2 linked regions of the Xenopus tropicalis genome follow. The protein of the gene in region 2 interacts with the protein of the main gene of each other region in a biochemical or structural test. Links are inferred from orthologs where the notes say so. Each region holds a gene or a part of one and is shown on either strand. Other genes may lie near its edges.

Evidence for each region.
Region 1: the proteins of dcaf11 (region 2) and slbp form a complex in vitro, tested with the Homo sapiens proteins (2 studies listed by BioGRID, with this or other methods). The link is inferred for Xenopus tropicalis from reciprocal best matches to the Homo sapiens genes DCAF11 and SLBP.

The regions. Positions count from the first base shown.
Region 1 is NC_030677.2:20,337,077-20,340,730, forward strand, and holds the end of slbp (histone RNA hairpin-binding protein), read right to left. Parts: intron 3,580-3,654; coding exon 3,531-3,579; intron 3,079-3,530; coding exon 2,986-3,078; 3' UTR 72-2,985; downstream 1-71. UniProt on the Homo sapiens protein: RNA-binding protein involved in the histone pre-mRNA processing.
Region 2 is NC_030677.2:139,470,333-139,474,538, reverse strand, and holds the start of dcaf11 (DDB1- and CUL4-associated factor 11), read left to right. Parts: upstream 1-1,277; 5' UTR 1,278-1,289; coding exon 1,290-1,444; intron 1,445-2,830; coding exon 2,831-2,958; intron 2,959-3,344; coding exon 3,345-3,463; intron 3,464-4,206. UniProt on the Homo sapiens protein: May function as a substrate receptor for CUL4-DDB1 E3 ubiquitin-protein ligase complex.

The DNA.
Region 1 (3,654 bases), about 120 Mb from region 2:
GTTCACCTTTGAGTTAACTTTTAGTATGATGCAGAGTGAAATTCTGAGACATTTTGCAATTGGCCTTCATTTTTTTTTTTTTTTTTTTATTTGTAGTTTTTTTCTTTTATTTATTTCATTTTCCATTCAGGAGCTCTGCAGTCTGGTGTTTTGGAAGTTATTTGGTTGCTAGGGTCCAAATAACCTTAACCAGGGAGTGATTTGGGGTAAGACCGTTGAATGAATAAGAGGATCTAAATAGTAGGTTACAAGAAGTAACAACCAATAAAATTGTAGCCTCACAGACCAATAGTTTTTTGGCTGTCGGGGTCAGTGACCCCCATTTAAAAACTGCAAAGTTGTAAGAAAGCAAATAAATTGAAACTAATGGAGACCAATTGAAAAGTTGCTTAGAATAAGTCAATCTATAACATACTAAGTTAGCATAAAGGTGAACCACCCCTTTAACTATACGATAGGGAACCTGCCAATGGGACAGACTATTGGGCGAATAGTTAAAACAGCCACATGACTGGACCAAAACTCATCATGGAGCAGATAAGAGCATGGCAGCCTGCAACAAACGGCACAGATCTCACTGGCCATAGGCAGACATGTGAATGGTAATTTCCCAATATCAATAGTACAGACAGACAAATAAAAATACCACTGACAGAAATCTGTGCTCAGTAGGCCACACTCCTGTGTTTAGACGCACTGGGCGGATCCCAAGCATTGCTCTCCCAACCTGTATAAAGGAAAGCTCCGCAGCAGGAGAAGGTGTAAGCACTCGTTTTAAAATTACTACATGCAAACCACTCAGAAGATGTAGTAAACATTAATGGAGGGAGAAGACAAAAGCAGCTCAATCCTGCAACACTGCCTCAAAAACACACACATTTTTGCAGCTAGTTGAATATGGTTACATTTGTGGCAAAAAACAGTGGTTGTAATGAGCATGTAAACTGTTCCTTCTATTTATTTCCACTTTATATTGCCCATAAAGTGGTTTATGAGCATATAAAGCAATAAAACATGTAAAAGGGTATCCAGTCCTATGGATAAGGACAGTCTGCTGCATTGCTTCTAAAGGTTGTAACATATCTCCAGATATCCCCACCTACAGGTGGGCAATATCAGGCTAATCTGGTTATTTGGCATTGGGGCCAAATGACTAAATTAGAACACGGGTATAGGTACAGTCTGTTCCGGGACCGCATCAATGAGCCAATGCGGTCCCCGATCAGACTGAAAAATCAAAACCTGCCCAGTTTCAGACAAGATTGTCTGGCAGGCCTGTTTGTGCCCATACACTGGCAGATAAGCTGCTGAATCGGACTAAAGGACCAATACCAGCAGCTAGAATCTTCCAGTGTATGGCCACCCTAAGCATCCAAACACGGAACCTTCAGCTAAATGCTGGAGCACTGCACTATGAAAGCCTTCGAAATGAGGAACAGATCATCCCAAAAGCAAAGTCTTCACCACCGTACAGATACCACACAAACATCATCCTCTCAAATTCCATTTACCCAAAAAGCTTATTTGCTCCAGCATTTAGTCCAATGAAATCACAACAGCTGTCCATAACATGTCAGTATTAAAATAAGACAACCCTACTGCTGAATGGAGATAATGAACCACCTGTACAGCCTGTTTATAATGGATGTCATTTATGAGGTGCTCCAGAAATTTGTGCCCTACCAAAAACATTGTAAACACGCACTGCACCTAACACAAATTTAGGCCACATTACAACCTGAACAGTAAACAAAACCAAGCACTTTAAAGGACATGTCTTTCACTGGGTGATGCCAAAATGTTTGGTACCCCCCAGTAAAATATGTTGCTACATTTTTTCCCCAGGCTGATGCTCCTGTTAGGAGAGAAACGCATCAGCCTGTGGGGAAAAAAAAGTGAGCTCCCCATCTCCTTACAGCTCTTAGCTCCCTTAGGCATTCTGCACAGTAAAATAAATCTCAAAATGGTATGGGTATACTCATACATGCTGCGCATGTGAGAACAGTAATTTGCACAGGGGATGTCTAGAATACTGTACAACCAGTTTTGAGGGCTTTTAAATACAGCACTTTAGGCAGTCTGGTCCCATAAGGAATGATTCATGAGCATCTGTGCTCCTTGGGCACTGCAACCTACTTTTCAAGTATGCTGAAAAAGGAGAAAAGGGAGCTAGGGCTGGCACGATTATTTAAAAATGCTCAAAAGTGCCTAGTGGCTTCCATTATTTAGACACAGCATTATTGCAAATCAATAGAAAACTGCAGTTAAGTATGAGATGGCATCTCAGACCAATAGAAATACTGCAGTAGCATAGATTTTACAAATGCAGTTGAACTACACACTTGAACTGTGACAAGTATGGAATATTTTGTTGCCATCTGGATGAAGCATATGGAGCTGCGATAATTAGTAAACTTAGCACAGTGGGAAACCAACTTTCATGACAGTAATTTGAATGTTGAGCATGTAAAGCACAGAAGTTCGTGCATCGCCTGATACTACTGAGGTGGCAGGGAATAAATCAAATCCTACTTTTTAAAAATAAAAAAAACAAGGCTTATTCAGTGCCTAAAGCAAGTGTTCAAAATTGCTGACAAGTCACACAAAAAAAGCAAAACAAAACAGTGCAGAAAACATGTTAACCCAATTATAGGCATTTACATTTATTAAACCTGTTATGCAAGCCACCATCTGTTTGGTCTGACAGTGGCCAAGTGAAGCAGTCATTACTGTAGGTGGCGGGACTGCGGATACAGCTCAGCTGCTCCCATATCAAGTGCTTGCGAAGAACGCCACCTAGCAGCCTACTACCAGCACCAAAATATGTGCATTGGTTAAGGCAGCTCAGATATATTGTGAAATCTTACTGTATAGATGCGCAAGAGTGGACCTGGGAGTGAAATTTACCAGTCTCTGCTGTGTGTGTAAACAGGGTTCATGCCAAATAGCAATCCTGAGCCCTTTCTTCTGGAAAAGCACTGTATGTTAACTAACAAAGTCTTCCTCAGTACCGCAGGGTTCCAGATCTAATTCAGCCTCTGCTTCAACTTTCCGGACCTTCGTTGGAGTGCCTGTGAACTAAGGAAAATGAATAATTAGGGTGGGGAAGGTGTCAATGCAGTCAGATGAAGCCCATTAACCTTTAAAGAAAACATTTGATAATATCTGCTCACCCTAAAAAGTTTGTTAGCAACCGTGAAATACATGGTATTTCAAAAACCAATTATAATCCAAAGTAAGCCGAACACCATCCATGTTGTATTATGCTTAGAAGCCCCATGCTGGCATGAAAGAACAAGCAATATTTGCAGATTTTTGCATCTGAAGCCCTTATGACACAGTTCACCCCATTTATCAGCTCCTCTCCACTCATTCCTTTTGCAACTTTAAATCATTTACAAGAGGGAAGTATCTCCAGATACAAAATATCAAATGTGGAGTGAAAATTTAGATTCACACGTGCCCCAGTACAATCCATTTGATAAACTGACCACTCTTTGTACAAAAGAAAAAAAAATGAAATTACTTACTAGGCTGTCTTGTGAGCTTGTTTCCACACAGATCATGTCTTCTTCCGTACTGTGAAGTTAAACAGAAAAGACATGAGGACTACAGCATGACGTATAACCTAAGCCTTCCCATGAAAAACCATAC
Region 2 (4,206 bases):
TCTTCACATTCAAGGCCTGTTCTTTTGCAGAGTTATAAAGAGACTGTGTTCCAGTGATGTGCCTACTTCTCAACTTTTACATAACTGAAAGAGTTTTGCCCATGCACACTTTTACCACAAAGGTATTCACGGTGTGTTTGAATATCCTGTCAGTCTCACACCCATTAGCCCAGCCCACAGGGGTACATTACAAAAAGCAGATGCATACAGTCAACGATAAACTTTATTTTATTTTGTCGCCATTCCTATGGTCTTTGCCTTACAGATTTGCAAACGCCAGTCAGGGAACCAGGGCTGCTGCTCCCTATAAGCAGAGTATGCAGTCTGCATAGGGCACCAACTCCCAGGGGGGCACCATCCCAGCTGCTCAAAAAAATCATTTTTATATAACATACCCCCCAACACTGTCCGGTTTTTATAGCGCATCCTGCTGTCCCGGATAGTTCAATCAATCTATGGGGGCAATTGGGGGCACTTACTGTGGGGGCTATTGGGGGCACATACTATAGGGGCATTGTCTATGGGGGCTATTGGGGGCACTTACTATGGGGGCATTGTCTATGGGGGATATTGGGGGCACTGTGTGTGGGGCCCCTATAGTAGGTGGTTTTTTTTATTATTTTTTTTTTACTTCTGTAATATTTGGGGGAGGGGGCACAAAAGTACATTTCTGCTTAGGGCACCCATTTGGCCAGCAGCGGCCCTGCAGGGAACTGTCATCTGGAAGAAGTCTAGGAGCAAAGAGAAGAAATGTATGCATCGGCTCCATAACAACATACCGCCCTGGGTTCAGCCCTTAGCTGCCCCTCACCACAATAGCAATTGTTACGAGTACCGGACGGCGTTGACTATTTAGCTGTAAATTGTCTATTCCCTAGCACTGTGCGAACACAGCAGAGCTCTACAGCACTGCAACCCAAGCTGAGTTTGGAAGGGGCGGGGCTTCTGCCCTGCAGGCACGTCACCTTGCCAACGCATCCCTTACTAATAAAGTTCCCACATTTGAATGTTTTTTTTCCGTACTGGCTACCTCATTCTGTGTATCTGGAATTGTAGATTTTATTTCTCTTAGGGCTTTTCTTGGAGGTTGGAAGAAAATCCAAACAAAGGCACACAGAAATGGCTTTGGAAACTGGGCTTTGGGCACAGCTGGGCCTGCAGGATCGCATGTGGGCGGGGATTTAAACGCGTTCGATGACGTTGCAGCCTGGGCATGCGCATTAACAATGTTCTTGTCCGTGTGTTTTTTTTACTGATATTTTGTTTACTGTATATTGCAGTGATGGAGTATGGGAACACGAAGTAGTAGCAGTGCAGGAGGTGGGGAAACTCCGGGAGATTCTCCAGAAGACTCCCAAAACAACCTAGAGTCACGTGGTCTTCAGAATGATGATGATGAGGAGAACGTTGACCTGGCGCAGGTACTGGCGTATCTTCTGCGCAGGTAACAAGACCCCTGACATGTCCTCCATAAACTTGTCCAACTATATTCTTAGCAAACACTGAAGCGAAGGTAGGATCTTACTTATGGCGCACATTGCTCAGTGTTCAGTTTTAGGGTTCTTTTATAGACAGGTAAGGGCTTTAATAGATAATGAGACAGACAATAAATTAAATACTTCTGGAATCTTTTAGCTCAGCAGTATTGTATAATAGCCACTAGGTGGTCATATAGACTAGGCATCATACTGTAAAGCAGAATAGAATTATACTGCAGAGAGGTGGAATATGTAGCATGGTCATTACCAGAAAAGTTGTTTTTAACCTTAAAGTTGTTTTAATCCTTTACCTGTCACCCATCATAGAATCATCATAGAATCTACTGCTTCGTCACGAAAGTTCCATCATGCTGGCCCCAAAGATTCTACATTTTTGTTGTTTCTATTTGAAGGGTGCAAGGTGTTTACTGGCAACATGCAACACGGTTAGATCAAAAACCTGTGCAACAGAAAGGGTTAAATAGTGTCTCTGTTACATTATTTTAGATCATTTGTAGGTAGTTGCCAGTGTCATGGCATGATACTTTATACATCCAGCAGTTGGGTTCAAATGTGTTGCTTATGTTTTGTTAAATTGAAAAAATAATCAAGGAGCAAGGAGCAAATCAGTGCAGAGTTATTTTAGCATTTTCAATCAATACGAAGCCACCAATACTGAGTTACATGGGGATGAGTGAAAATGGAGACACCACTAAGTCATGAAACATTGGGGTTTTTTGTTTTTTTTGCCCAGTGCAGTGGCCTCTCACCTCATTCTTCTTACTGTGATAATGCTACAGCCCTTTTACTTGTAACGTCAAGTCAAGTACTAGCACCATAAAGTTCTTACATATGCACATAGGGCAGCCAGCAGCTACTCTGTGCTGAAGGGTCAAATATAAAGTTCTTTATGTGCCTGTACAGCACATACTGTAAACACTGCAGTCTTTTACAGTATATCACAGTCTATTCTATCAGTTATAATTTCTATCAGAGGTTTATTTATATCTGAGAGCCTGCCGAAAATTATAGATGGCCCACATGAGCATATTCTTACTTTCTGGGTTCAAACAATTCTGGTCATCAACCTCTGCCCTAGAGAATTCTTCATTTTAATTACCTACTTGCAGCCCTTCAAGATTTCTCCTAAATTATTCTTGAGCAGATTTGCAAAACTTTGAGCTATTGTGCACACTACCTCTACTACCCACATGTCAATACTGCATGTAAACATACCCAGAGCTTGTAAACCACTGCCCTCAAACTTGCTTCCCCACTGAACCCTAGTTCTTTCCCATCCCTTGTGTGTGAGGTATGTCTGTCCTGAGAGTTGGTGTCCTTTTCCATCTTAGGGGACAAGTGCGATTAGTGCAGGGAGGGGGTCCTGCTAGCTTACACCTGGTGCAATCTTTGTCGGACTCAGATGATGATAACGACAGTGCCTGGGAGGGCTGCTTAGGAGACCGCTACATTCCTCCTGGTGAGTCGTCTTGTCTTCACACTTACATTATTGGTAATCCACCTTTGCCACACACCCATGCGGAGTGTGATTCACTTTTAGCTGTTAGTTATAATAAGTTTGACTTTAGTTAACTATTGCTCAAAAAGACGTCACCTTGATTTCATATTATAAGATTCTTACAACTCTAAGCCAGGCATGCATATTTCTTAGAAAATCTATCATGTCGCTAGCTAATATGTGAAATTCATTAATTTTAAGCTTGGTCTTCTGAGTGTAAATTAAATGGCAAGATCAACAGCATTTTTTCTTCATTCTACAGAATTTTCTGTGCCATATTCTCTTTTGGTGTGCTTTTTTCTTTAGTTTATATGCCTAAATCTCATTCAACTTTCCTTTTCTTGAAGTTGATTCAGCCCCAGACACCACATCGCTGGATCAAAATCAGATCAGGACACAGACACTTTTGGCCACAGGAAGACAAAGCACACAAAGACAACATAACATCACACGTCTCCTATTGGAGGTATGACTGGCCTACTTACTGGATGTCGGAAGTATGCTTTTACAACATATTGCATCAAAACCATGTTACACATATGGGTTATATTATACATTTTTCATATGAGATATACAGTATTTTGGGCATAGCCTATAAACCTTGAGTCCAGTAGGCGCAAAGTGCAATGTAACTGCCTGTTCTGCATCTTTACCATGGCTTATCTGCACCCACTGCTATCATGTTCAAACTTTTGCACATTCAATAAGGGGGTGAAAAAATTTGCACCTGTTATATGCTGGTAATCAAAGCTTGCACCCGCAATATAAGAGGGAGTATGTAGGTGGGAAGAATGTCTCCTTGGGTGCCCCTTAAAGAAGGAGTAAACCTTTTTTTTCTATCTTTAAAATAAATTACTCTAAACAACCCCCAGAATAACATATCTTAGTCACTTCCTGGTACAGTGTGAAGGCCTGCCCCCTCTTTCTGTTCAGCTCTGCTCATCTATTCGACTATAGGGTAGTCAAAGAGGAGAGCCTTCTTTGCATGCCTGACAGAGAAGAAGCATTCTGGAAATGCACAGTAAGTCAGACAGTTATGTATAGGCACAGAAGAAATCTGCTGCTGCTGCACACTGGCTCCTGCTTCTCTATGCATTCCCAGAAAGCTACCCTGTAGTCGAAGAGATGAGGAGAGCTTCACACTTTACCAAGAAGAAGAGGAAAGAAGCTGAAGATTTCAACTTATAAATCAGAAACCAGATCAGACTG